Linked DNA regions of Struthio camelus. The protein of the gene in region 2 interacts with the protein of the main gene of each other region in a biochemical or structural test. Links are inferred from orthologs where the notes say so. Each region holds a gene or a part of one and is shown on either strand. Other genes may lie near its edges.

Region 1 (7,875 bases), on a different chromosome or scaffold from region 2:
ACCAAGCCTTAAACTCTCTTAGACAGAATCAAGTTTACCAAGGGTCACTCCCCATCACCTGCTGCTCCAAAAGAGGGAATAAGCACACTCCCCAGTCCTCACTCTAAGAGGACTCCCTCGAGGTGCTGCTTCACAGCCCTTTTCCACCTGCCAGACGCACCATAGGAAAGCGGAAGCGTTTCAGCCCCTGGGTTCTCTGATAGTGAAGGACACGGTTTGTGGCACTGTCCATAGCAACAATGATGTCATCCTCGTTGCACCTGGCATGGTGACCAGGTGAGGACTCTTTGAAAATCATCGTCATCACAGAAACATTCTTTTCCATCTTACGACGCAACCTGAACAGGAAGGGCAGAATTTTAAGTCACTCTCCAGACAGTTACAGCCCAGAGTCTCGGCACACCAGCCAGGCACGCGCTTCCTTCAACACCTACTTGTGCTCTTCCAGGGCTCTGGATATATTGAAGTTGGACACCACGTCCCCAGTGACAAGGATGAAATCAGAACGGACAAGAGACTTGGCATCAACGTCTCGTAGCACGTCACCAAGGGAGCGGTACAGATCAGAAGTTACAAAGCGCACCATGTTGGGAGATGTGTGGCGGCACCACTTGGACTTTCTGAAGGCAGAAAACCACATCAGGAAGGCTTAAAAGGGATACTTGTACCGTGGATACTTTACACTAGAACACAGCACCCCAGTGCATACCACATCCATAAGTGCATGCAGGAAGAATCCTATTACAAGGAGTACATTATCAGTGGGCAGAGATCTGATCATTTGCACAGAGCAGAAAGAACTGAAGATGATAACACCTTGAAACTATGGCTTAGGGAAACTTAGGAAACTAGACTATCTGTGAGCAGTTTTGACAGAGGAGAAGGAGAGATTACACCCAATTCAGGAATTTTTTCTCTGAAAGCAGTACCTCAAGCAGGGAAGAGAAAAGACTGCACGCTTCTCCTGAGCAGGCAAACCTGCAGCATGCAGAGGTAAAAGGTACTTTCAATGAGAACTGTTTCAATATGCTGCACCGATCACTGAGACACGGCAGAAGGCTAGTAAAGTGCAGTATTATAAATTACAGTGCTAAGCAGGAAAGCGCTGCTTTTAGGCAAAGAGCCAATAACGCCAGTAAAAAAAGGTAGTCCCCCAAACAACCCTTTTAAAATACTGCACGACCCCACTTCTTCACATGAGGAATATTCTTTTTTGAGATGTGCTGGGAGACATCTACTGAAAGGGAATCCCTAGCAGCACAGTTTTCATCAGTAGAAGGATCAGTGCAATCTAAGACCTGGGAGGCTTACTGGATAATGGCAGATTCCTTTCCATGATAAGGCTAAAAAGAAAGCAGAAGAAATCCTTACTGTAAGTGCTCTTTTATCTCAGCTGACTTCCAACAGCAGAAAACAAAAGTTTCTTCGACTCCGGTTGCCGTTAGGAACTCCAAGGTATAGTCGATCATGGCCACGTTTGCCATAGGTAGGAGAGCCTAAAAAAAACAGATGGAGAGACAGCTGAACAAACACACTATAGCTCCATATCAGCAGCAGCGTCTTCTAGCTTCAGTACCGTCAGAATAAAAAGGTGAATGACTGCTATACCTCCTTTCAATGAAAATTCTCCAAGTTGATATAGACAGTAAGAGCTACCTCCTGATGTTCCATAGGGGAAGTTAGAATCACCCTTAGTTTACAGAGGAAGGTGCAAGAGAAATGAGGTTATCGCACCTAAAATTCTTCAAGAAGACTCAAATAAACGACAGAGACGAGGAAAAAAAAAAAAAAAACTCAAAAAATTCCAAAGTACTGATTCCCTGACTCTGGCTTTAACTACTACAAGAAAAACCTGTCAGACATGAATGATGAAGCCACAAGAATTGAGAGTCTCCAGAATAAAAAAGGAAAAGAAAAGACCCTACCTAAAGTGAAGTGACTATCCTCTCGACTTGAGATTCATGTCACACTTTTAAACTAACTTACTAATTTACAACTGACAGTTTCATACTATCCTTTGATCCATTTCTGATGGTGTTTTGTTTCAGGTCCGAGCCCACGTGTATAATTATGAACACTGCAAGCATTTACTCAGCAAGCGAGGTAAGATAATTGCTCAGACCTAAATTCTACAGAAGCACTCTAACACGCAGCCTTCTCATCTATATAATTAAAATGCTTTTGCCATCCTTTTGGCTGGCCATATTCTTTTACGCTACTGCCGACACAGACGCTTTGCTTCTTTCCTCTACCAGAAGGAAACCTGCCCAAATCTGCTACCACTCCTTCATCAGCAGTGGGTGAAAAGCAAACAGCGCAGTTGGCTGCACCATATGGGAAAGCAAACAGCACCAACACAGCACTTAGGTGCTCACCGCCTCTCCGACCGGGCACATAAACCCCGCCGAAGGAGGAGGGCCGGTCAGAGGCTCCCTCCCGCTCACGCCCGGTGGAAGGGCCGCGGCGGACGCGGGGGCGCAGCAGCACCCCGCGACCTGCCGGCAGCGCCCGGCGGCCTCGCCGCCTCCCAGCCCCGGCCCAGGCGCTCACGGCAGGGCACACCGCGCCCCCGGGAGCGACGTCCGCGGCGGCCGCCGCTCCGCCTTGCGCTAGGGACCCCGGGAGGAGCCGGCGCGGCCGGGGCAGCCCGAGGGGAGCCGGGAGCCCCTTCCTGGCCCCGGGCAGCCGGCGGAAGGCCTCTCACCCGCGGCCGGTCCTTGGAGATGGGGAAGAAGCGGCGGTTGAAGCTGTCGGCGACCAGCACGGCCTGGAGCGGCGGCGGCGGCTCCTCCTGCGGGTCGGGGCCGCGGGCCGCACCCGCGCCGGCTCCGCGCCTCGCAGCGCCGCGGGCCGCCATCTCCTCACGCTGCCTCAGCTCCCGCTTCCGCTTCCGGGCTCTCGCCGGAAAGACCGACGGGAGCTCGACGGGGACAGAACAGTTGGCGACGAAGGAAGCGGCGCGGCCAGCCGGGGGGCTCGCGCGCGCCCGAGCAGGCGGGGCGGCGGCGCATGCGCAGTGCGCCCTGGGCCGGCGGCTGGGCGGGGCGGGGCGGTCCGGGGGCTGCGGGTTCCGCCGCCGGGGCGGGAGCGGCGGGCGGGGTGTCCCGGCCCCCTCGGAGCCGGCGCGGGGTGGCTGTAGGCTGCCCGGGCCGTGTTGTCGCGGGCCCAGGCGAGAGCCCCAGGGCTAACCTGGTCTTGTGGGTAGTTTCCCCCTCGGTTACATGGGGTCATGGGTAGACCTGCTACCCCGCGGTCATACGGGGTGGGGGGTGGACGTGTTGCCCACCGAGAGTGGGTCTCTTTGGGAGGGGGTGCCGCAGCCCACAGCGCCTTCTCCGCTACAGGAAGGGGCCTCTCGACTTGGCAGAGGCCACGCCGGGCCTGTCTGTACCTCCCTCACCCTGGGGAGGCTCGAGGCTGCCCAAACTGGGGGCGCCTGGGGAGGGTGGTTTGCTGGCAGAGGTTGCTGCATGAGCGTGAGGTTGGTTTTTGCAGTCGTCTTTCATAAATCTCCTGAGAAGAGCTCGGGGTCGTTGCTGGAAACCACTCCTGTAGGTCAACGCTAGTCTCACTAGTCTTGATGCATGAATCACTGGACGAAGCTGTGTTAAGTAGGTCAGACTGGGTGAAACAAGTTCTTCCCTTGATGAGTGGCTGGCATATGTTTGAGGCATTGCTGCAGGTAGGCATAGCTTTACTCCTTGGATTTTGCAAGTTTTTAGACAAAGCACTTGCTTGTCTATCCAGCAAGGCTTCTGGAAATCCAAGTTGTTGTAATTCTCACTGTGTGGGATGGTGTGTCAGATGCGAAGCGTATCTGTCTCATCTTGGAGCTCACCCGTGTATGCAAGCAGGCTGCTCCTGGAAAGCTCCCGCCGCACTTCAGATGTGCAGCTGGTAATGGCGCCTGGCAGAGACCAGAAAATAATGGAATTTAAGTGTCGTATGTGAAGATAGGTGCACAAGACCATGAAAACCAGAGGCAGTGGGACAGCAAGTGGCTTTGTTGGGCGGTGTTCATTGTTTTAGGGAGGGGTAGGAAGTACTTGTGTGAATAGATATGGGGCAGCAGTAGCAGGTTCAATGTAGTAGTGCTTTCTGTTTAACCAGACGGTTCAACAGACACAGTGTAGTGTTATGCTGCCCAGACTGCTTGTAGTTTAAGCAGGGAGCAGCAGGAGGGCAGCTTATGGCGTGGGATCCTGGAGCTGCCTGCCCTGTCTGGGGTGAGGAGAATTGCCAAAGCCCTTCAGATTTCCTGGGTTCCCCTTGCAGCCCTGACTGTTCAGTTCAGTCCAGCCCAGCCAGGTGAGGAGCAGGACAGTTTTCGCCTGTCCTTGCAAGGGCCAGCCAGGGGTCCAGCTCCACGTGCCTGAATCGGCTTAGCAAAAGGCAGAGCTTGTGATGAGTGTATGTAGGCAGGACGGTTCAAGAGCAATTTAGGAACAAGATCTTGCATTTGATCGCTCTTTGCCTCCCAGACACTTCAGCCTATTCTGCATCACCTATTTGACTCTACAGAAGATCCATTGCAGGCAAAACTTTGAGAATAAATAACTTGCATAGGCTGCTGATAGTGCTGCTATTCAATATGCCTCTCTGAGATGCAGGAGCAGAGAAGATACGTTTTCATCTGCATTATCTGGAGGAAGGAGAGTGTGGTAAAGAATGGAGCATCCCCACCACAACAGGGCATGACCCGAAGTTAGTGGGAGGAGAGGGGAAAGCCTGAATTTCCCATACGTGGACATTTCCCAGATGACCTCAGTGCATGTGTATTACTTTGATGCAAGCCCGGGGAGTTCTGGATTTCGAAAAGGTTGTATCTTCTTGATAGGTTTCCTAGCTGTGGTGTATTTGTGCTGCGTTTCCAGATGTCTAATAGCTGTTAATGGAAACGCCAGTCTTGCTGTGAACCAACACTTCAGCACTGCCGCCTTTCATCATGAACAGACCCGAAACCCACAGTCCTGGAGCGACCTCCCAAAGTCTATCCAGAGACACTGTCAAGAGGGGAGGAGAGAAAAGCAGAGGTGGTTTCTGGGGTTGGGGGGTGGCACTGGCCTCCCACCCCGCTTGGTGAAGCACTCCCCACTTGGGTGCTACAGAGGAGGTGTCTGGCCCCCTGCCCATCTGCAACATCATCAGCTCAGGTGCTCTCAGCTTCATCGGTCCTGATTCCCCCAGTCCCCCTTGGCCAAGGCGGGTCTCTGTCCTCATGCAGATCTGGTTGCCCCTCCTGAGTGCTTCTGTATTGATGTGGTGCTCAGGAGGGAATTGGTCGCTTACAGTCCTGGGCGCAGAAAGTGCCCCCTCGGCTGAATCCTCTTCTCTGGCCTCTCTCCACTGCCCGGTTACGGAACTACAGTCCCTCTTACTCAAGCACAGCTCACACAGCTCTGCTGCCTGCTCATTTTTCAGCAGGGTAGAACTATTATAACCTCTGCTTTCAAAACCTGGAAAATGGGCTGAGAGACTCCCTGAGGAAGTGCCTAGAGGGTTTGGGGCAGGGGGGCTGCTGAGATCCCCTCAGCCTGGCGGGAGGAGAGTGGGCACCTTGAGGTTTGCTCTCGAAGGCCCTTACCAGCCCTGGGACCTGGTGCTCGCTGAACTGCCCTGCTATTATGCTTCTGCCCTCTGAACGTGCAACAGGCGTTCGCAGCCCCAGCTCTCCGTCTCCCTTCCAGCCTTTCTTGGCTCGTTCTTGCTCTTGGTGTCTGTAAGTTGCCCCCCTCTGTAACGCCCTGCTCTGGCTGTTGCTACTCTCCTCTGCTGGTGGAGTCCTCTGCACCTCCCCCTTCCTGAGCAGCGAGGGCATGGGAGAGCTGACCCACGGTGCAGCTATCATCTGAGAAAGAAACACAGGGCACTTGCATCCCCTCCCACGGAGATATGGCTGTTCCCCAGGGTAGAACATGGCATGCACTTACCAGCCCACGGTACCCAACATGATCTATCCACCCTGATGACAGAGGGAATGAAGAGAGTACCAGTTCAATCGTTGGACCTACAGTGCTGTCCTAGCGCTGAGAGCAGTGCATGTAGCCCCTGTGGCAGTGCTGAAGGGTCTTTGCCGGGTTGTGAGTGGGTAAGAGTGTATTTCCTGTGTACAATAGGCTAGTGCCGCATCCTTTCCACCAGCTGCATTGCAAGTTCTTGACTGACTTATTAGAAAACAATCCTCCTCTGTCTCCTGAAGGACCCTGCAGCATTGGGTATTCCCTGAATTTCCCTTACCGATTAAAGTGTTAAGGATCTCTTTTGTGCTGCCATCTGCCCCCAGTAACTTGTGGTTGAACTCTTGCTGTGCTGCACCTTGTGGGTAAATTGCTTGACCTTAGCTAGTGGGTTGGGATAAAACAGCCAGGACAGACACAGCTGAGAAAATAGAGATGAGCTGCCCTGGAGAAATAAATCATTCCTATCCTGTTCAAAATTAGGTATCCACATCCCCTTGGGAATCCTTTTGCCTCAGCAAAGGAGCTAACCCCGGAACAAGAGCTCCCAGGTGGTTTTAGCCCAGGGGTTACAATTTGAGGAGTCATCTGAGAGGTGGATTTGTCATTGCCTAAGGGCAGGACAGCACGTTCCTTCCTGCCTATGTAGCACTAAGTGCATAAACAGTACCAGAAAGCAGGTCTGATCCAGCCTGCGCAGCCACTGCCCGTGTCGAGATTGGGCACGCAGAGCTCAACAAGAGAATCAGCAGATTATCTGGCTAATTACATCCTGTTCTCTCCAAATGAGGCGAGTTTCCAAGACGTTGCCCTGGTAAGTTGGCAGGAGCAGGGGAAGACAAATAAAGGTAATTGCTAATGAACTGAACTCAAAATCAGCTTGATAAATATTCTTCATGCTTTACAGAAACATTTCTCTTTGGTTTCAGTGGGGACTTGCAGGCCAATAGCACCCAGGCCAAACATATTCTGAAACCCATGTAATTCCAGAGGGAGCTTTTAAAATTGAAATTACCTCATGAAAATTGAAATGAGGATGTGCTGGGTTAGACTGAAGGTCCATCCAGCCCAGTATCCCACAATGGGGAGGAGGGAGGGAGATCACGCTGACTGAAGGGCCTTTTCCTACCTCCTCATCCTTGCACACCTCTGGGTAGGGCATTATGGAGCAGCATCCACCAGCTCTGGGCAGGGTGAGTGCTGTGGGAATACTCTGCTTTCCGGGGCATAATTAGGGCATATCTGGGGCTCCATATTTGTCAGGGCTGAGCAGGACCTGTGTCAGGAGGTCCCCAGGGCAGGGAGCCTCGCAATGTGGAGGATCACAGGAGGTCTACGTGGACTCACTTGGTGTCCTGTTCTGCCTGGTGGCCAGCAGCTCCTGATGTCCTTGGAGCATCCTCAGGTGCCTCAGCAGAGCCTGGGCTTTGTGTCATCTTGATTCCAGGTCAGGGATACAGTGAATGCCTCCACTCTGCTCTGCCTGGCCAGTGCCAAGCTGCCAGGGAGCCTGGTTTGGCCAGGGCTCTCCCCATGCAGTGGAAGAGGTGACGTGGGGCAAACCTTGCCCCCGATGCAGGGTGTCCAGGCCCCAGGGGCTGTCCTGAGCTCACTCGTGATGGTTGATGCTCACTTGCTAGGTGTAGAGAGGTGTCTGCCTGCCCCAAATGCCCTTGGAGGAGCTCCTGCCCACGGAGAAGGGGTAGGTGGGTAGGCACGAGCCAGCATGCAATTGAGTTGTCCAGCCCTGCACCCCTGAACAGCTCTGTACTGGACACAAGATTTACGACCGGAACTGAGTCCTGCAGGTAAAATAACACTGCTGATCACTGGTAAACGAGAGACTGAGTGTAAAACCAGGCTGATGCTGCCCTGCATCCCAACCCTCCCGTCTCACTTTCTCCTTCCCACTCCCTGG
Region 2 (6,877 bases):
AACATTCCCATGAACCTGTATGCTGTGGCTGTACTTGTTCTACCGCGCTGTCAAATTGGGAAATGGAAGTTGTCCACAGCTCCTGTCACATTAAACTGTTCAGACCACTTGGCTCCATTGATCTTAGCAAATATACCTGGAGTCCTACAAGGCCTAAGTGCACCCACGCACATTCAGATCAGCAAAACATCAGCTGTTCTCTGAAGCAATTGTCAATGATGACATTTTGTGACAGGAAATCATTGCAAAATGCTGGGTTCTCAAGATTAAAAACTTCTGTCCTGCTCAGAAGAATAAACACAACTAGTACTTTCTAAACATAGATTCATTTGGATTTTGCTCTGGGACAAAAATCAAAACCACTTTTCAGGATTTATTGTCTAATCATTAATGCCTGGGCAGTCGGTAAATTTGTTACTATTACAATCTCTGATTTTCCACTGGAAAAAAAAAAAAAAAAGAAAAAAGAAAAGTTAAAGTTCAACCATAACCATTGGGTTTATCCATGCCAATTAAACCAGAAAAAAGCCATTACAGTATCTTGCTAAATTGTTTCTTGGATAACTCCCTCAGCAATACTAGGGAAATAGATGCAAAACCAGTATATCCATTAATATTCTTTTAATTCACTAGTGTTTCAAAGTTCAAGACAACCTTAAATGATTGCATCCTTATCAGCCTAACTGAGGTATAAAACACTACCCTCTTGCCCTCTCACCGTGGCATATGTTGGAATGACCCAGTAATAGCTGCATGGTAAGCAAACAAAGAGGCAACAGAAAGTCTTTCTGCTGAGTACCCACAGAGGAAGCAAAGGAGAAAGAAAAAGCAGGAGTTCCCTGTACAGCAACATATCTGCTTACTACCAATGCATGTTGGAGCAGAACTATTCCGTGTATGTTTAACATGACTGGATTTGATGTTTATGCCAGCAGACTCTGTCACACTTCTCACTCTGGCCCCGGCTCAGGCTGGAGTCTTGCATGTGCCCGCACGATATATGAAATGTAACCAACGAACCAATCGACCAAAAAATGTCCCCCTGCTATCAAGCTTTTTAAAGATTTGTTCTGTCCAAAAATAATACCAGTTTTCTAATTCACTGCCACCTTATGGCATTTTAGAGAGATAACACTTCAGTAATTTCTATCAGACGCTCAGTATTTTCAGGTACCCTCCCTGAGAACTTGGATGCTACCAAAAAAATGCTTTAATTTTGCATTTTAGCAACTATAAAGCTGTCTTTCCCATCCAGATCGGAACAATATTAATGTCTGGGACACTGGATTATTCTTGCTTGTGAAAACTGATCATTAAAACGTCAATTCTATTTATATTTACAGATTGTAAAGGGAGGTCATTTCATCAGCCAAGGGGTCAAACATAAATATGAAATTTGCAATGTTGTCAAAAGAGAACCTTTCAATCCAAAAGAGCAACTAGCTCACTCATGATTTGCCCAAATGATTTTAACTGTTAGTACAGTTTTGAAATCGAGAATGAAGGCTTAACAGATGCCCTTATCATGTGTTTATGGTTTTTCTGATAGCAGTCTTAACTAAGGAAATAGTCTATGAAAAAAAACTAACAGAAATTGGAAAGGGATGATATTTATCTGGTCTTCAAATACGTAACAATTCTCCTTTAAATATATGTGTGTGGTTTCAAGGTAGATGAGCAGAAAACTCTCTGACTGAAGTGGACAGGTTTTGGAGAGTTCATTGGTTAATAATTACTTGGAAATGTGGGCAGGACTGGCTAAGGGGAAGCAGGGCAGCTGAGATTTTTTTAGTGTACATTCCCCAAGTGGATGGATAGGGCTGGGATTTGGAAAAGCGAGATTAGTAGTAACTGAGAGTTTTGGTTTTGATATGGATTGTTTTGGTACTGAAGGGGAAACTGGTAGGGACGAGATAAACCATGTTGAGGAGTACAACCATGAAGGGTTGTTTTTTTTTTTTTTCCCGAGTTAACCTTGTTCTCCATAAGTAAATGAAGGTGATGTTTCATTTATGAATGTAGACTTGTCAGAGAGTTTTAAAAGACATGCGGCAAAGGGCTAATGTATGTGATTTTTATTTAATAGTCTTATGGGTAATGATGAATGCTAATGTAAAGAGATCATCGTCCCACTCCCCCTACCCCTGCCGCCGTTTTTCAGACTGTCTGCTTTGTCAAACAACAAAGCTTAGGGTCTCTCTTAGGTCAGTTCCACTATTTGTGTGGTCTTTTGAAAGAACTTCATCAGAATATAAGAAAACGTGATTTGTGTTGGTGTTGGTGCTCAAGGCTAAAAAGCGATTTCAAGCTCTGCTTTAAAACATGCCTGGAACATCTGATGGTTCATTTCCGGTAGAAGAAAGCTGGACACTGCCCAGTTGCATATTGACTTTGTCTTTTGAGTTAAGATCACTCTATATTAGAGAACTAACCCAATCTGTAGCCCAAATTGCTGTCCCCTGCTTTCTTCGCCTTCCATCCCCAGTAGTCTTGGTAGGGGGTGAAGAACTGTACCAGAATAGGAGAGAACGTGTCATTTTTTTGTGGTTGGTGACTTATGGAGACTGTGGCTGAGCAACGCTCAATATAGTGGTGTATCCGAGGGGTCTAGAGTGGTGAGTGAGGCCGGGTGGTTTGGGGGTGACTTCAGACTGTCTCTTTCAGTCCTTGGTAAGGCACGCCACCCTCGAATTTTAATTTCCCAGCTGCACAGAGCTGTGCAGGTAGCTCATGAAGAATCAAACCCTAAAAAGTCCTAGGTCCTTCGCGATAGTTAAAAATCACGTATCATTTATCAGAAGGTGAAAAGGTTTCTGGCAAACCAAGCACCCTGGGGTGAGCGGAGTGCTGAACAGGACCGTTTTGAGAGGGTGAGCTTGTTTTTTGCCTTGGAACAAAGCTCTTGCAAAGGATAAACGTCAGCTGCCTCTGGCCTGATCTTTGCTTGCTCATGTAGCAATGCCGTTTAGAGAAGGACTGAAAAAAGTAAAAGACTCTGGCAGCACTCTTATGCCTTGAAAGAAGCAGCTCTTAAATTTAAGAGTCTTAACACTGGCAAGAAAATGCTTCTGCCAGTCCAAGTTATTTTCTTGGTGGTATAAACTATTCTGGCAAGTACTTTTTTTTTTTTCCTAGTGGTAGAAGGAAGAGGTTCTCAGTTTTGGCTGAGGTCTGCTGAGTAATTTTCCTGGGGTCACAGCAGCAGGCAGCAGTGCTCCAGCTCCGGCTTTGCCAGGGCCGGGAGCTGTTGCCCCACAGACGCGTTAAGACCCCTGAAGAGCGTGAGCCCTTCCCGAAGAGCGTCGCGATAAACGCCTGGGACTCCGGGCAAGGCCAAGCCAAACCCGCTCATGGTGGCACCAAGGCCGATAAAATGCGGATAAAATGACTGCAGGACGCTCAGACGAGCTAAGGCGATTAGGTGCTGGCACAGGCCGCACCAGGCCGCGACGCCCCCTCCCTGCGCATGCGCGACGGCGGCACTGCGCACGCGCGCTCCCCTCCCCCCAGCCCCGCCCTGCGCCTCCAGTGAGGTCATAAAGGTGAGCGAGGCGGGGCGCGCGGCTGGGAGGTGGCGCCGCCGAGCCCCAGTGGGAGCGGAGGCTGCCAGCAGCGCCGGGCTGCGGATTGGCGCCGCGCAAGCAGCTGGATGGCGTCTTCGGGCCGCCTCATCCCCGCCGGCCAATCAGAGGCCTCCGCCGGGGAAGCCAATCGGAGCCCGGACGCGTTCTCCGCCTCAGGCTGCGGCTTGAAACCGTCCCAGGGCGACAGCGCGTCCCCTCATTGGCTCTCCCGCTTCGGCTCTCTTCGGGTGGGCCCGGTAATGGCCGGAAGAGAGGGCCTCTTCCTATTGGCTCGCCGATCGCGCTGCTAGGGCGGCGGCAGCAATTGCCGATTGGGTCTGCGCTCTCCTTCGGCGAGACTCGGCTGCGCCCGTAACGACTCCGCGATTGGTTACGAGGCGTTAGAGGCATTTCTGTAGCGGCCTCAGGATTGGCCCCGAGGAGGCTCGGACGTTTCCGTAAGGGCCTCGGGCTGGGGGCTGGCGAGTGCGTCGGGCTCTTCGGCTGGGTATTCACAGAAGGTGCTTAGGGCCGTTCCGCAGCGTAGGGCGGCAACGCGCATAGGCGGCTGCGCGGCTTTGGCGCACACACAGCGCGCAGCAGCAGGAGCCCGGCACGCAGCGGAGGCAGCAGCGGGGACAAAGGGACTGATCGGCAGGAACGGGGAAGGGGGCCCGGCAGGAGGCAGCCGGCGCCGGGAGGGAGCGGCAGGAGCCTTTAGCCGGGCGGGCGAGTCCCATGTGCCTTGGACGCCCGGGGAAGCAGCAGCAGCAGCCGCCGTCGCCGCCAGCGCTCTGAAGCCGGCTGACGAGGAGCTGGGGAGCCGCCGCCGCCGTCATGGCCTGCACCGCCGCCTCCGGCCGCCACCCGCACTGCAGCCTCCCCAGCCTGAGCCGCCGCCAGCTGCCCCTGCGGGCGCAATGAGGAGCCGCGCCGGAGCCGCCGCCTCAGCGCCGCACTGAGAAGCGTTAGCGAGCGAGCGAGGCCGCCCGGGCCGCTTCACCCCCTACTCCGCCCGCCGCGGATCCCACCGCCCCTGCCGGATCCCCTTGCAAGCGGGGCGCATCACCTCCTGTCGGCGGATCCGGGAGCCCCGAGATCCTTCCGCCGGGGAAAAATAGTCCCGTTCCCTGCTGCCTCCCGAAGAGGCGAGGGGGAAGGAAAGGAGAGGGGAGGGGGAAGAGGAGGAGGAGGAGGGGAGGAAAAAAAAAAAGAAAAAGAAAGAAAAGCCCGGCGGACGGGATCAGAGGAGCCCGGCCATAAGCCTCCGCCCCATGTGACTGGCGCTCAGGGTGGGGGCAGCGAGGCCTAGCAAACCCCCATCGCTTCCCAGCCGGGAGAAGGAGCGGCGGCGGCGGCGGGGGCGCTGCGGACTGGGTGGAGGCCGCGCTCGGAGCCGCTGGTGCTGCCGGCGAGGATGTCCTTATAGGAGGCGGCGTGAGGCGGAGGAGCCGCGAGAAGCGCGACGAGACCCAGAGGGCAGGGGGCTTCCCCGGCCGGGTTTTGGGGGGGGGGTCGGGGGGGGGAGAGGGGGGGCCGGGAGCTGAATGCAGCGGGCCTGAGCCGCCTCCTGCGGCCGGGCGAGAGCGAAGCGGGCGGCGGCGGCAGCGGGGCAGGAAGGTGACCAGGGGCAGAGGAAGCGACGGAGACCATGTCCGGGCGGCCCAGAACCACCTCCTTTGCGGAGAGCTGCAAGCCGGTGCAGCAGCCCTCGGCCTTCGGCAGCATGAAAGTTAGCCGTGAGTATTGATTCGCCGCCCGCACCCTCTGCGGGGCGCCCGCCGCGGTGTTTCGTCCTGGGGGTGGCGGGGGGGGTTGTTAATTTTTATAATTCAATTTATATATATATATATTTATATATATACGTATTTATTTTATATATGTATATCTTTCGGTAAATACGGTAACGCAGTGGCTCGGAGCCTGGGCAGTGGCAGAGTCCTGGGCTGCCTCTAGCCCTGGATGAGGCGGCTCCCTTTCTCTCCCCTTCCCTCCCCCTCATTAACCTTGAATAGGCACACATCATGGTTTCGTTTGGGGCCTGCTTAACCAAAAAAAAAAAATATATATATATATATATATGTATATATCGCTTGTTTTATCCGTTTCTACAGCCTCTTGTCTCTGCTAATATTGTGAGCCGCCCGTTTGGCTAATTGAAAAGAATATTTCTTTGGAAAATGGATTGGAAGCTCTAGAGGCTTTTTTTTTTCCTCCTTCTGTGAAAGGAGGAAATGAATTACGGACCCGTAGGTATGGTCGTGACATTCATGTTCAGTATACGTTTGTATAACTGTTGGTTCTCCTGGAGAAAGCTTAGTAGATTTTTTTCCAGGCAGCTGTAGATCGGGTGTGAGCACCTTTTGTAAGCCTTTCTTTCTCTCTCTCTCTCTCTCTTTTTTTTTTTTTTGTGGGCTGCACTAAAATGTCTCTCTGTAATACGAATCAGGCTCTGCTAAAATGCTCAATAGAGGGGATGAGGAAATCGTTAATATGACATGTGAGTCTATGGAGTAGTTATTTCAAGCTCAGTATGCCTTTTCCAGTTTTCTGATCAGAGGAATTTTTCTTAAGAACGAGGCCTATGCTCTATTCTGCACAGGCGTGTTGTAGATGGAATAAGTATTTAATATGTGCCCATCCTTCATATTCTAGCCAGTGGGATTGGGTATTTCGTGCGAATTGGAAATGTGTATTAAATATTAACAAATGTATGGTGTGAATGGAGAAAGGCCCTATTCTGAGTCATGAAAGACTAGCTACGTGTCCGCAATACAGAATTTGTTGGCTCCTGATTTGAATATGTTCATATTAACAACTGAATTGTTCCTGCAGGTTCGTGTTACTAGCATAGTTCTCAAAAGTATATATTTTTTTCTTGTGGAAATAGAGGGTGGCATCATTATGGGACGCGGAATGCTTGGTATGCATTACTGTTCAATCGATTTATTTGATGCTTGTGTATAGCCACACCTGACAGCACTGTGTGTGTGTATCATATTGTTTTGGGCATCTCATGCCAAAGCTGTATGTGATTGTGAGCTTTTGACATACCAGAAATGTTGGCATTTTTCTGCACCGAAATGTCTTCTACTGCGGTTGAAGCCTTGAAGAGAGCATTGGGCTTGGGGTCTTGTAGTCTACCTTGTATCTGCATGATCAGAGTGCCTGCAGTACTTAGAAAAACATGGAGTGCAGTTAATCCATATTAGCAGCATAAGAGTGTATGTTTGATCAGATCCAGCATTAGTGTGTATTAAGACTCTTTAATTTTTGTGGGGAAAATCTGTATATGACTCCATTTTAATTTATTG
Region 3 (6,822 bases), on a different chromosome or scaffold from region 2:
CGTGAAGCACCCCAAACCCGCAGCCCCGCCGCGAGGACCCGGTCCCGCAGCGCCTGGCCGGGGACGTGCGCTCCAGCCCGGCCACGTCCGCCCGCGCCGGCGGGGAGGCGAACGGCCCGGAGCGGGGGGACACGGCATCAACCTCCCCTGCCCGCTTTGCTCCCCGGCGCCGCGGTCCCCCCCAAACCCCAGAGGCTCTCCCTGGGGCAAAACACCTATCCCCAAAAGCCCAGGCAGCCGCTGTGTCCCAGTCCTCGCCGTCCCGCCACCAGCGGGGAAACTGAGGCACGGAGCTGGCAACGGGCGGGCGGCGGGGGTCGGACCGCGGCTGCTCGGAGGTTGTTGTACCCGGGCGGCAGGGCCGATCTCAGCCTGGTTTCGGGGACGAGGCGGGGGGGGGGCTGGGCTGCCCCAGCTCGTTCGTTCATTCTGTACCGCACCCCCCCGCCAGCCCCCAAACCGCCCCTAGAGCCGGGCAGGGGGCCGGGGCAGAGCGGCGGCACCTTCGGGACGCGCCGGACCCCCCGCGCCCGGCTGGTTCGCCCCCCACCCCGGGGTTAAACGTCGCTGGGCTCGGTGTCGCCCCACCGAGGGGTCCCGCGGCGCCGGGCGAGGGAGGGCAGGGGGGGGACCTTCGAGAGCGCGCCCCGGCCCCCCCCCACCCCCCAGCGGGTGCAGCAGCCCGCGGGGCTCCCGGCGAGGCACGCGGTGGCCGCCGGCCGCGGGGCCCTCCCCGGGGCGGCCGCGCCAGGGCTGGAGCGGGGCCGGCCGTGGGGTGATGCGCCTCCGCCAATCGCCGCCCGCCGCCCCAGACGGCCCCGCGGCAGCGCCAAGGTGCACCCGCCGGGTTACTCGCGGGCATCCTGCCGTAACCCCGGCCCGCGGTAACTCTAGGTCAGGCTCCGTTAACCCCTTCGTTAGCTAACGAGCGGGCTCACCGCCCACCTCCCCTTTTGCATCCGCCACCGGGTGCTTCCGCGGGAGCCCGTCCGGCCGAGCGGTGCCAGAGAGCAGGGAGGAGCGGGAACCGGCCGCGGGGCGTCTCGGCGCGCCGACCTACGTGCCGCTCGGCACTGCTGCCGGCCCCACGCCGGGGCAGCCGGCAGAGCCCCCCGCGCGCCCCCGGCCGGCCCCGCCGACGCTGGAGCGGGATGTGACGGAGCTGGCGCATCCCCGCATCCCCCCCCAGATCTACCTGCCGAGTGTGGCCGGAGCCCGGCTGGTGGTCCCGCGGGGGGGGGTCTGAGCCCACCGCCCTCACCAGCGTCCCCCCAGCGCACCCTTCACGGCCCTGCCGCGCAGAGGACCCGGCCGGTGGCACCCCGGAGGGCACCCAGCCCACCCCCCCCGGCTCAGCTGGCCCCCGAGCATCCCCAGGGCCGCGTGCCGGAGCAGCACGTCCCGGTGCCGCGGGGGGGCACGGGAGGAAACTACGCTGGCTGCTGAGGACGTGAGCAAAGCGGGTGGCCGTGGCGGTGGGCCACCTCGCGCCCTGCCGCTGGCAGGACCCCATCCTGCCGTCCCGGCCCTCCTCTTCCTCCTGCCCTCCGCAGCTCTCCAGGGCGCGAGGCATCCGCCAGGATATTTATATGCCGCCGCGCCGGCTCCCTCCCAGCGCAGCTGCTCCGGGCACTCAGGCAGCATCGTCCCCGGGTGCTGCCCGGCTCCGGGACAGCGACGAGCGTGGACACCACGTGCGTCCCGCGGGTGCTCCTGCCCGTCCCCGCGCGGACGGGCTGCAGCTCCCAGATTCGGGGCTCCCCGCGTGGGGACGGGCAGGAGCGCCCGCGTGCCGCGACACCACGCTCGCCGCGGTCCCCGCCACGCTGCCCTGAGCCTCGCTGCTTCGGCCCCCGGGAAGCTGCAAAATCCCTTCGGCTGGAGGGGTCCCCAGGCCCCACGCGGGGCCGGCCGCGGCTTCGCAGACCCCGGGGCCGCTCGGCACCCTCCTCCGGGCCGTTTGCCCGGCGGCAGCCCCACAAACGGGGCGTAAGGAAAGGGTGACGTCTCCCCTCGCTGCTCCCGGGCTGCGCTGCAAAAGCACGAGGCAGAGCCTGGGGGGCTGCCTGCTGCACGGGGCCGGGCTGCGAAGCTCGCGGTCTCCATACCCGCCCCGTACAGGTATTCTCCAGAAAGTCCTCCGCACAAACAGCACACCCCTTCCGCCTGCAAAATCGCCCCTCTCCAGGGGGGCGAACAAGCCTCCGCGGCGGGACACCCTCGCCCCGATGGGCCGATCGCGCCCGCTCTCTACCCGACCCCTCCTGGACCTTCCGGCCAGGAAAGGGGGGCGGTTGTGACCCCTCCTGGCTGCGCAGCGTGACCCGGCGCGCCGGCTCACCCCTGCTTTGGGTCCAGCGAGGGCAGAGAGGGCTCCAGCCCGCCTCCGGCTGCACGACCCGCCTGCAAGCGGCGGGCAAAGCGCTTCCGTCCCCGAGCCCAACCTGGGAGCCAGGGCCACGCGCGGACACCGAGAGACGGCACCTGCTACTTCCCTTCGGAAGACGCTGCGCCGGCCGACGATCCGCAAAGCTGAAGTTCGCCCCTTGTCGCCCACCGGAGTTTGTGTTTCTTCTGAGCTTCCCGCCCTGCGAGGTCACCGCAGCCCCGGCCCCGAGAGCAGGCAGGGCTCCCGGCGGGCGCTGCTCCTGCAAGCTGCTGGGCATCGCCGCCGCAGCTGCCCGGGAAGGGGGCCGCGCGCTGCCCGGCCTCGCCGGCCGCCCGGGCATCCTCCGCCCGCGGCCCTGGCGGGCTCCGGCCCCCGAAACTCATCTCTTGCTTAAGTCGCGCTAACCCTGAGCTTGGCCTAAAGGCACCGGCGAGGCAGCCGGGGCCTCGGCGGCTGGAAGCGGGTGGCTCTGCTGGCGGCGGCTCTGGGTGCCATCGCCACCCGCCTGTCCCCCGCCATCGCCGGGCTGCGCGGGGAGCCCGCGTGGGGCAGGGGACGCGAGGGGTGCTCGGCGGCGGGGCTGCGGCCCCCCCAGCCCTCCTTGGCCCCCTCCCCTCGCCGTCGGGGGTCTCGGCCTCCAGGGGGATCGGCCGCACAGCCCCGGCCCGGACACCTCCCCCTGCCCATGCCCCCCCCCCCCAAGCCCGGGCAGGCGGCCCGGGGAGCCCAGGCGTCCTGGAGGGAACGACCGGGAGTAACCCCGCGGCTGACGTCAGGCGGGGCGGGGCTAGAGGCGACACAGTGCTGCGGCTGGGGGGGCCCCGCCGGGGCTGCCCCGGCACCGGGGGCGGGGGGGGGACCCTAGCCCCGGGGGGGGGGGGGGCTCTGTGCTGGCCCCCCCCTCCCCTGCAAGCACCCGCCGTGGATCCCCCTCCCCGGCCTTGCTCCGAGCCCCCCCGGGCCTTGCACCAAGCCCCCCCCCCCCGCCCCGGCCGCGCACGGAGCCCCGGCGGCCGTGCACCGAGCCCGCTGCCCCCCGGCCCTGGCCATGTACCGAGCCCCCCGGTCACACACCGAGCCCGGTCCACCCGGCTTTGCACCGACTCCGGGTCCCCCAAGCTCAGCCCCCACCCCAGCCGCGGCCAGGCACCGAGCCGCCTCCCAATTATGCACCGAGCGGGGGCCCCGTCCCCGCTCCCCGACCATGCACCGAGCGGGGCCCCTCCAGCCCCGGCCACGCACCGAGCCCGGCTGCACCGGGACCCGCCGATGCACCTTGCCCGGTGCCCCCCGGTCGGCGGCCCGAGCCCGCTCCCCGGCCATGCGCCCAGCGCTGACCACGCACCGCGCCGGCCCCCGCTGCCCCCCCGGCCCCGCTCCCGGTGCCGCCGGCGCCGCGGGGCTGGACGCACCGTCGATGTCGCTGAGCAGCGCCGTGTCGATGTCGCTGGTTCCAGCGAGGCCGAGGGCCGGCGCCAGCCCGTCCAGGGCCGGCGCCAGCCCGTCCAGGGCCGCGTCGTCGAAGGCGAGGGCGCTCATCCCGGCGGCGCTCACGGGCCCCGGCGGCGGCGGCGGCTCGGGCCGGGGCTGCGGCTGCCTCCGGCTGCGGCTCTAGGAGCGGCGGGACCGCCCGGGCCGCCCGCCCGCCGCCCCCTGCGCCATGGCCGGTTCTGGTACGGCGGAGAGAGAGGAAAACCAAACCAAACCAAACCAAAAAAAAAAAAAAAAAGAGAGGAGGGGGAATTAACCGCGAAGTTGCGCCCGCGGACCGTGCCCAAACCTGATACCGGGCAGGGGAGGCGAGGCGGAGGCGAGAGGCGGGCCCACCGCCTCGGCCCGCCCCGCGGAGGACACCCCGCCCCGGCCCCGGCCCCGGCCCCGGCCCCGAGCCCGGCAGGGAGCGAGGCGCCTCCATCCCCCGGGCTGCGCATCATCCCCCGGGGCAGGCGGCACCCCCCGGGGCAGGCACCAAATACTCGGGCTGGGCGCTAAATACCGCCTAGGCCCGGTTTGGGCGGAGAGGCGGAGGTGGAAGCAGGCTGGAGGGCCAGCCTTAGGGGGGAAGAGGGGCGAAGGAGCCTGCAGAAGCCCCCCAGCACCTTTCAGCGGCCCCGTGCCAGGGTGAGGTTGGCCCAGCACGTCCTGTCTCAGGGCTCCTGCAATTCCCCGGGGCAGCGGACGGGCTGAGAACATCTGCTTTCCCTGGGAAGACAGATGTGCGGTCTGTCCCCCTTCCCTGTGCAGGGGGATTGTCCCCGTGCCCCAGCTCTGGAGCATGTCCTGCACCGGCACCTGACCACAGCCTTCCCCTGCAGCCTCGCTGGGGAGCCCGAGACCCCCCTGGCCTCCCTTAGGGACCAGCAGCAGGCACCAAAGGGCCATTGCTGCCCTCCGAGCCCCAGCCGAGCCCACGCAGCCTCCTGGCGCTCGGCAGCCTCGGTGCCTCCAGCCCCTGGGCCACCAAGGAGGCGAATTGTCACTGGGAACTGGGAAAACCGCTGGTGGCTTCAGGGTCAGCCCGGCTGCTGCCCACGAGGCGCAGGAACTGGGGCTCAGCCGGGGGGGCTCACGTTGGGCTGAGCCGGGGCTGCCAGACCCTGCAGAGCTGGGTGTCTTGTGTTCCCATCAGGAGCAATTTGGGAAAAGAAAATGCACTGCAACATCCCCCTCCCCCCAAAAAAAGTTCACCCACTCCTCTTCTGCACCACCAAACGCAACCTAAAGCTACCTGTGCATTAATTAATATTGGGTGCACCAAAAAAAACCTCTCCCCTCAGGCTTCGAACCTTTTAGGGGGAGGCTGCAGGTCTTCAATGGGGGCGGCATCCCCGGGACAGGCCTTGGAGCAGCTCGTAGGAGGCCGCGGACAGAGCGCCCGGCGCGCGCACGGGGCTCTGGACAGAGCTGTGGGCGCATATCCCGCAAAAGCATCGAGGCCAGCGACGGTACAGCCGGCCTGGGGCTGTGCAGGGGGCTGTGTGCTCTCACCCGCCGTCTTCTAAGCTCCCTGGGGAACAGTCGGGCTGCACGACAGCAGGAGGTTTCCCTTCTCTTGCGGGAAGGCACTTACTGTGGGCAGCGCACCGCAGAGGGATGAGGCCGGCTTCCAGCCGGGTTTTGGAGCGCCGCGGTGGGGCAATGGATGGTGTCGCGTCCCCGCGAGGAGCGTAAAGCAGCCTTGCGTGAATACGGGGGTCACACGCCTTTAATAACCCACACGCAAGACCTGCAGCACAGCCTGCCCCCGTGAGACATGGGAGGGGAAAACACACACACGCACATAAACACGGCTTTCTTTTCGCGCCAGGCAGGGAGCAAGGGGCGGCCGGAGCGGGAGCGTGCAAGGTGCCTTCCCCATCCCCATCCCTCCCCCCGAGCCGGGGCGGGGGGCACGCGCGCCCCGGGGCCCTGCGCACGGTGCTCTGCTGCGGTCCAGGGGACCAAAGCAAACAAATAACATCCTGCGCACCATGGGGAAGGACGGTTAAGCAACACGGCCGGCCACCCGTGGGCAGGGATGGATTGGGTGGCCAATGGATGCCACGCGGGGTGGGGCGCCCCGGGGGAAGCGGGGTGGCGGGCAGGGAAAACCCCGCCTGTAGAACCAGCGCGCCGCAGCCAATAAGCGCCGCGGCCCGCAGTGGAGTGATCCTGCATCACGGCTCAGGGCCCACGATTACATCATGCCGCTCCTCCGGGGATCGGCCAGCGGGGCCACGTGGTCGCTTCGGAGTCGCTGAGACATTTTTCCTGAGCATAGGGTGGGAGGAAACCGCAGGGAAGAGACAGAAAACAAACCGGCCCGGAGACGGCCGGCGCTGGACGCGGAGCCAGCCGGGCAGGCTCGCGCTGCTTGCAGCGGGCTCGGGCGCCGGCGTAGGGCTGGCCACGGGCTGGGAGCGTCGCAGGCGGCAGCGCGAGGCTCTGCGGACGTGCCTGCTGCCGCCCTGAGACAGCTGCAAGGAGCATCCCCGTCCTACCAGCTCCCTCTCGCTCCGATCGTGCCGGCTCTCGCAGATGCTCTGTCCAGCTGGCTGTGAGCCCCGGCACACTCGCTACCTGCCAGCACATCTTCACCCCGTGCTGAGAACAGCCGTGCTGTTTGGGCTAATGCTCCCCAGTCCTGGCCTTCAGCATCCCTCGTGCTTTGGAGTTTTGTTTTGCTACAGCAGAGTGCAGTGTTAATCATTAATGTGTTGCAGAGAGATCCAAGCCCTCTTCTCTCCTTCGCTACTTGTAACTCTGCGCCACCAACTATCCCTTCCTGAGCTACGGCTTCAGTAAATACACAGCCGGGAACTGCAGCACTCGGGCATCCTGGGCTGTCCCGGCTCAAGGCTCAGCCCTGGGGTAGGAGGGAAAAGACAACTGCATGTGTGGTCACCTCCTATCTGCACCGGGATTCAAACTGGGGGTCTCAAACTGACCACCGC
Region 4 (7,027 bases), on a different chromosome or scaffold from region 2:
CCTCAGGCGTTTGCGGCAGTCCGAGCGCTCTGTGCTCCCCGGGGCGAGCCGAGCGCCCAGGCCCACGGACGCCGAGGGAAGCAAGTTTTCCGCAGCGGCTCTGTGCCGCCTTTGCGCCTGCCCTCTGCGCAGGGCCCGATCACCTTCACAGCCCGCAAGGTGCAGCGGCCCGGCCGTCACTGAACACTAAGCGAAATTTAACTCGGCTAGTATAGGCTTAAGTGGTAATTAGCGCCTTCAATCAATAGCAGCCTTGGAGCTTCAGCGTAGCACTAACGAAGGTGCGGATTACCTGGTCAGTAAGTAGCATGACCAAGCAGAAATAATGCAATTAGCACAACACGCTTTTAGTGGTTCGGTTTTGGTTTTTTTGGAAGCGATCTGCAACCCCCGTTGATAGAGGGGGGCAGGAGCCACGCGTGGGGCCGCAGGGCAAGCACACGCTAAATTTATGCAACTGGGCGGCCCCCCCCCCCCAAAAAAAAAGCAAAAAAAAAAAAGGAGAAGGGCAGCGTTTTGAATATTCACGACACCTCGGTATTTGCATTGTAATGGGTCCTTTCAAGAAGGAGCCTTCCCGGCAGCAAGGAAAAACAATGCGCCCATCTGTCGGGGTGCTGCAAGGGATGTTGCTCGGCGGCCGGCGAGAAGCCGGTGGGAGAAAACCCAAGGTAGATCCCCCCCCCCCCGCCCCCAAAAGCGGATTATTTGGGAAGCGAACAAAGCAAAAAGCCGGTTTATCCAGCACCGTCCCGGGCGGCTGGAAACGCGCCATGATGTCGGTGCCGGCGGCAGGGCCGGGCTGAGCCCCCCGACGGGGGCGGGGGGGGGGCCGGGGGCGCCGAGCGCACCCATAACCTCACCCCCCCCCCGCCGCCGCCCTACGGCCCCCCATCCGCGGCTCCGCCCGCCGCCGTTTTGGGGGCCGGGGTGTTGTGAAGCCCCTCTCCCAGGACGGGAAGGGCCCCGACGGCTTGGCAAAAGTCTCTTTTTTTTATTATTTTTTCCTTCCCCCCCCCCCCCCCGGAGCCCCGGGAGGAAGGGACCGGCCGGGCCGCAGCCACCAGGGCCCCCCCCGCGCCCCGCTCCCCCGGGAGCGCCGCCCGCGAAGCCCCTCCGCAGCGCACCCACGGGGGCGCCCCGTCCCTAAAGCATTCCCCCCCCCAACACCCTAAAGCACCCACGTCTCCCCAAAACACCCCCCTCCCCCAGCAACGCACCCCGCTGCCCCCTCGGCACACGCGGCTGCCGGGAAGGGGCGGGCTGCGCTCCCGGGGCCGCGGCTCCTTCTCCCCCCACCCCGGGGCCCGGTACCCCGCACCCCGGGGCGCTCCCCCCCCCCGCGCGGGGCTGGGCGCTGCCGCCGGCCGGGGCTCACCGGGCTCCGGGCCTGCCGGTGCGCAGCGGTGCGGAGAGGAGCGGAGCGGGCGCCGCGGCCGGGCGCGGCTCGCGGGGAGGCGCCCGGTTCAAATGCGGCCGCGTTTATTGGGCGGCCCCGGGGCGGGGGCGGCGGCGGCGGGGGCGGGCGGGGGCGGCCGCCGGCCTTTGTGCGCCGCCGCCGCCGGGCGGAGCCGCCGCGCCGCCCCCGCCCCCGCTCCGGGGGCACCGCCGCGGTCCCCCCCCCCCCCCCCGCCGCCGCCCGGCGTCCCCCGGCTCCCCGCGATCCTGCCTCCCCCCCCGGGTGCCATCACCGTGGTCCCTGCTCTCCTGCACCCCCGGGTGCCATCACCGTGGTCTCTGCTCTCCTGCACTCCTGGGTGCTATCACCATATTCTCTGCTCTCCTGCACCCCGGGTGCCATCACCGTGGTCTCTGCTCTCCTGCACCCCCGGGTGCCATCACCGTGGTCTCTGCTCTCCTGCACTCCTGGGTGCCATCACTATATTCCCTGCTGTCCTGCCCCCCCGGGTGCCATCACCGTGGTCTCTGCTCTCCTGCCCCCCCCGGGTGCCATCACCGTGGTCCCTGCTCTCCTGCCCCCCCCGGGTGCCATCACCGTGGTCCCTGCTCTCCTGCCCTCCAAGGTGGCATCACCCCAGCTCCCTGCTGTCCTACAGCCCAGGGTGGCACTGCTGAGGTCCCCACCGTCCTGCACCCCCGGCTGCCATCACCCCCAGTTCCTTGCCGTCCCGGCCCCCCGCCCGCAGCCCCCGCCCCCCCCGAAGCCCCTCGCTGGGCCAGCGCAGCCCCCTGCTCCCCGGCCCCGGCCTGGCCAGATGTCGCGCCGGCCGCGGCAATTTGCGCTTCCGTTTTTGCGCGTTTGCCATTTTTCTCCGCGGCTTTGCTGCTGCTCCGACACGCGGCGGCCCCCGGACCCCCCCCGGACCCCCCCCCGGCCCCGCTTTCCCGTGCCCGGTTCAGGCCCCCGCGCAGCGGCAGCCATCCGGCGCTTTGTTCGGCGGCCCCCCCCTTCCTCCTCCTCCTCCTCCTCCTCCTCCCGCACAAACAGCCCCGAGAAGGCGATGGCCGGGCTGCGCCTTGCGCCTCCGCCCCAAATCCGGCTCCGGGGCGGCGGCGGGCGACGACGACGACAAATCCCTGCCTGGGTTTTCGGCCCGGCTCCTCCGGTTTCCTTCTCTTCCGTCTGCGCCTGCGGAAGGGCGCAAAGAAGCCGAGGCTGGAACAAGCTAAAAACTTTCCCCCTTTGTGGTTTTTCTGCACAAAACAATGGGGAGAGCGGCTCGCTGCTGCCACCCCACGTCCGGCCTCCGCCGCGGCCCAGGCGCCTTTATGTCGCTTTGCCACCCGTGGGGGCACCCTCGGCCCCCGGCCGGCTCTCCCCTGACCCCGCAGGTCCCGCCGCTCCGGCCGCATCGGTGCGCTGAGCTGCGGCGGCCTCAGCACCGACCGGCCACGGGGAAGGAAGGAAGCGGCGCGGGGGTTGGGGGGGGGGGGGAGTCCCCGCGGGAAGTTTCACCGGGCAAAGGCCGAGTCCAGCCCGGCCTGGATCCGAGGGCGGCGGCGGCGCTACCGGCCTCTCTCGTCCGCCGTGCGGCCGGGGGCACCCGAGGACCCGGCGGCACCACCTAGCCCCGCCCCTGCAGGCCGAAAGGGGCGGGGCGGGAGGGGGAGTGGGCGTGGCCTCCCGCGCTGGGAGGGGGGGGTGAGTCTTCGCGGCCCCGGGGGCGAGGCGTAGGGGGCGTGGTTTGAGGGCGGGGGCGTGGCCTGGCGGGAGGGGGCGGGGCCGGCGGCGCGGCGGCGGAGCGGCGGCAGCGCGGCGGGAGGGGGCGGGGCCTGGCAGGAGGGGGCGGGGCCGGCGGCGCGGCGGCGGAGCGGCGGCAGCGCGGCGGGAGGGGGCGGGGCCTGGCGGGAGGGGGCGGGGCCGGCGGCGCGGCGGCGGAGCGGCGGCAGCGCGGCGGGAGGGGGCGGGGCCTGGCAGGAGGGGGCGGGGCCGGTGGCGCGGCGGCGGAGCGGCGGCAGCGCGGCGGGAGGGGGCGGGGCCTGGCGGGAGGGGGCGGGGCCGGCGGCGCGGCGGCGGAGCGGCGGCAGCGCGGCGGGAGGGGGCGGGGCCTGGCAGGAGGGGGCGGGGCCGGTGGCGCGGCGGCGGAGCGGCGGCAGCGCGGCGGGAGGGGGCGGGGCCTGGCGGGAGGGGGCGGGGCCGGCGGCGCGGCGGCGGAGCGGCGGCAGCGCGGCGCGGTGCGGGCGCGATGAAGCGGCGCGGCGAGCGGGGGGACGCGGCGGCCCCGGCGGGCGGCGGCGGCCCCGGCGGGCAGGCGGCGGCCAAGGCCAAGGCCAAGGCGGCCCCGGCCCCGCAGGAGCGGTGAGTACCTGCCGCGGCGCCGGGCCCCACGTGCGAGCCCGCGGCCCGGTGGCCCGTCCCCCCCCGCCGGTGCGGTGCCACCGCCTGCCCCGGGCCGTGTCCCTCTTGCCGGGGCCATATGGCCTAGCTGGGGCCATGTCCCCATGTCCCCTTTGCCGTGGCCTTGTCACCTTGCCGTGGCTGTCACCCCATGGCCGCGTCCCCCATGCCATGGCTGCGTCCCCCATGCCATGGCTGTGACCCCTCTGCCATGGCCAAGTCCATGCTGTCCGTGCCCCCTACCATGGCCGTGACCCCGCCGCCATGTCCCCGTGTCCCTGCTGTGACCGTGTCCCCTACCGTGGCCATGACCCCCATGCCATGTCCCCATGTCCCTGCTGTGACCGTGTCCCCTACCGTGACCGTGACCCCCCCGCCATGTCCCCATGTCCCTGCTGTGACCGTGCCCTCTACTGTGGCCGTGACCCCCCCGCCATGTCCCCATGTCCCTGCTGTGACCGTGTCCTCTACTGTGGCCATGACCCCCCCACCATGTCCCCATGTCCCTGCTGTGACCGTGCCCTCTACTGTAGCCGTGACCCACATGCCATGTCCCCATGTCCCTGCTGTGACCATGACCCCCCTGCCATGTCCCCACGTTCCTGCTGTGACTGGGCCCCCCTGCCATGGCCATGACCCCCATGCCATGTCCTCATGCCCCCTGCCATGGCCATGTCCCTGCTGTCCATGCCCCCTGCCATGGCCATGACCCCCATGCCATGTCCCCATGTCCCCCTGCCATGGCCAGGTCCCTGCTGTCCATGTCCCCTGCCATGGCCATGACCCCCATGCCATGTCCCCATGTCCCCCTGCCATGGCCAGGTCCCTGCTGTCCATGCCCCCTGCCGTGGCCATGACCCCCATGCCATGTCCCCGTGTCCCCCTGCCATGGCCAGGTCCCTGCTGTCCATGCCCCCTGCCATGGCCATGACCCCCATGCCATGTCCCCATGTCCCCCTGCCATGGCCAGGTCCCTGCTGTCCATGTCCCCTGCCATGGCCATGACCCCCATGCCATGTCCCCATGTCCCCCTGCCATGGCCAGGTCCCTGCTGTCCATGCCCCCTGCCGTGGCCATGACCCCCATGCCATGTCCCCGTGTCCCCCTGTCCATGGCCATGTCCCTGCTGTGCATGCCCCCTGCCATGGCCATGACCCCCATGCCATGTCCCCATGTCCCCCTGCCATGGCCAGGTCCCTGCTGTCCATGCCCCCTGCCGTGGCCATGACCCCCATGCCATGTCCCCGTGTCCCCCTGTCCATGGCCAGGTCCCTGCTGTGCATGCCCCCTGCCGTGGCCATGACCCCCAATGACACGTTCCTGTGTCAGCCGGTGCCCTGCCGTGGCCACAGGCCTGTGCCAGCTGCCGAGGATGGTGTCCCCATGGTCTCCCCCGGGAGGCATCTCCCCGGCTGCCCGCTCTGCTGCCCCCCCGGGTGCCGTCACCCCGGCTCCCCGCTCTGCTGCACCCCGGCCCTGCCCCGTGCCCCTCGGCGCGGTTGCAGCAGGCGTTGTGCAAAGCAGGGTGTGATCCCTCGCCCCCGTGTTTGCATATTAAGTGTAGATGAAGAGTGGCACCTAATAATTAAGCGCGTGACTCCGCGGGCAGCGCTGGCCCCGTGCCTTGGGCACGCAGCGGCACCGGCCCCCTCCGGAGCCCCTCACCGCCTCTGGGCGGCTCCGGGCACGGCGGCGTCCCCGAAGGGTCGGACGCGAGCCTCCCTGTCGCCTGCGGAGCTGCGGCCGCGGCAGCCCGTGACGCGTCCGACCCTTCGGGGCCGCCGCCGCCACTTTTTACCTAAGTGCTTGCTGACTCTCTGCGGCGAACCCGAGCCCCTTTTGCTGGATTTTTCTCCTCGTCCCTGGGGAGTCGCGCAGGCTCTTGGCGCGGGCGGGAAATATTTGGGAGCGTTGCTCGCCGGCACCGGCTCTGGGTGCTGCCCTACAGGGTTGCTCACTCTTTATTGCAAAACTCCTGGCAGGGGCTGGGAAGGGGGGGACCCCGACTGCGGTGTGTCCGCCCCCCCCCCCCCCCGAAGGACGGAGGGGCTGCGCTCACGGGGTTTTCTGCCTTGCAGGGGCTGGCTGGCCTGGCGACCCCGGCTCCGCACCCTCCTCGTGGACCTTGTCCTCATCTACGTGTCTGTGCCCTTCCTCATCCGCCTCTTCCCCGTGCTCCTCACCAAGTTCGTCTTCCTGAACTTCCGTGAGTGTCCCAGGGCCGCGGGACAGCCGGTGCCCCGCGGTCTGGCGTGGTGGTGGGGGGGGGACGGACGACGACGACGAGCCTTTGGGACCCCTTTGGCTCCGATGGCGCGCGGAGCCGGGAGGTGACCCGGCCGCGGCAGCGGGCGCCGTGGGAGCCGGCAGCGTTGCTTCAGCCCTGTCGCCCGGCCGGTCGGGCCGGGTGCCCCGGGCTTGGGCAGGGCGGCGAGAGCAGCCGGCGAGGAAGACGCCCGGCTCGGGGAGCCTGCAGCTCGCGGACCTGCACTGCTGATTTTTGCCCCCGAAGCCCGGGTTGGGCTGCATGCGACGTCTGTGCCCGCGGCTCGGTCCGCCCCGAGCTCCCTGCTTCACCCGGCGGCACCGGGGTAGCGCAGCCCGGCGCGGGCGGGCGCCCGGGCAGAGCCGGGAGCAAGGGGAACACGCAGGAAATGCAAAATACGGCAGCTCCTCGCAGCCCGTCGACGACGCAAGGAAGGGTCTCTGCTGCTCGTGCATCGCGGTTTTGCAAGCTGTAACAAGGCGGTGTTTTGCCGAGGACGTTCGCTGCCCAGAGTTGCAACACGTCTGGGCAGGCAGAGCGTCCAACGGGCCCGAGCGGCCGGCGGTGGGAGCTGGCGGGCGGCTGAGCTCGGCCGAACCGCTTCCCGAAGCCGGGAACAAAACAGCCGTCGTCTTCTGCGGGGGCCGGAGGTGTTTCCAAAAAAACGCCACCCGCTTCGGAGGCTGGCGCGCGACACGCGTTGCTTTGGGAATTAGCCGGCTGGGGGGGGGGGGTGCGAGGGGCGCCCGGGGTCGGCGGCAGCGCCTGTGCCTTCTCCCGCAGTGGCCTTCCCCTACTTCGTGGACCTCCGGCAGCCGGAGCTGCTGCTGAACAACACGGTGAGCTTGTATCTCACCACCGAGCCCGGCGTCACCGTCGGCGTCTGGTGAGTAGCAGAGCCTCAGCGGCGGGGTTGGCGGCTGAGCGTGCCAAGAGCAGGGCTAAAACCCTCCAATTCCCAG

What was found.
Region 1: of the proteins of GSK3B (region 2) and EIF2B5, one has a biochemical effect on the other in vitro, tested with the Homo sapiens proteins (2 studies listed by BioGRID and IntAct). The link is inferred for Struthio camelus from reciprocal best matches to the Homo sapiens genes GSK3B and EIF2B5.
Region 3: the proteins of GSK3B (region 2) and SREBF1 form a complex in vitro, tested with the Homo sapiens proteins (2 studies listed by BioGRID, with this or other methods). The link is inferred for Struthio camelus from reciprocal best matches to the Homo sapiens genes GSK3B and SREBF1.
Region 4: of the proteins of GSK3B (region 2) and NIN, one has a biochemical effect on the other in vitro, tested with the Homo sapiens proteins (2 studies listed by BioGRID and IntAct). The link is inferred for Struthio camelus from reciprocal best matches to the Homo sapiens genes GSK3B and NIN.

Annotation. Positions count from the first base shown.
Region 1 is NC_090950.1:22,485,071-22,492,945, reverse strand, and holds the start of EIF2B5 (translation initiation factor eIF2B subunit epsilon), read right to left. Parts: upstream 3,015-7,875; 5' UTR 2,858-3,014; coding exon 2,705-2,857; intron 1,497-2,704; coding exon 1,372-1,496; intron 621-1,371; coding exon 435-620; intron 339-434; coding exon 161-338; intron 1-160. UniProt on the Homo sapiens protein: Acts as a component of the translation initiation factor 2B (eIF2B) complex, which catalyzes the exchange of GDP for GTP on eukaryotic initiation factor 2 (eIF2) gamma subunit.
Region 2 is NC_090942.1:93,118,331-93,125,207, forward strand, and holds the start of GSK3B (glycogen synthase kinase-3 beta), read left to right. Parts: upstream 1-3,874; 5' UTR 3,875-5,214; coding exon 5,215-5,302; intron 5,303-6,877. UniProt on the Homo sapiens protein: Constitutively active protein kinase that acts as a negative regulator in the hormonal control of glucose homeostasis, Wnt signaling and regulation of transcription factors and microtubules, by phosphorylating and inactivating glycogen synthase (GYS1 or GYS2), EIF2B, CTNNB1/beta-catenin, APC, AXIN1, DPYSL2/CRMP2, JUN, NFATC1/NFATC, MAPT/TAU and MACF1.
Region 3 is NC_090956.1:3,831,814-3,838,635, reverse strand, and holds the start of SREBF1 (sterol regulatory element-binding protein 1), read right to left. Parts: upstream 3,003-6,822; 5' UTR 2,730-3,002; coding exon 2,342-2,729; intron 1-2,341.
Region 4 is NC_090946.1:80,848,105-80,855,131, reverse strand, and holds the start of NIN (ninein), read right to left. Parts: upstream 3,012-7,027; 5' UTR 2,918-3,011; intron 2,667-2,917; exon of another isoform or gene 2,543-2,666; intron 1,486-2,542; exon of another isoform or gene 1,379-1,485; intron 1-1,378. Other genes in the region: protein ABHD12B, read left to right, coding at 3,648-3,760, 5,878-6,005, 6,849-6,951. UniProt on the Homo sapiens protein: Centrosomal protein required in the positioning and anchorage of the microtubule minus-end in epithelial cells. May also act as a centrosome maturation factor.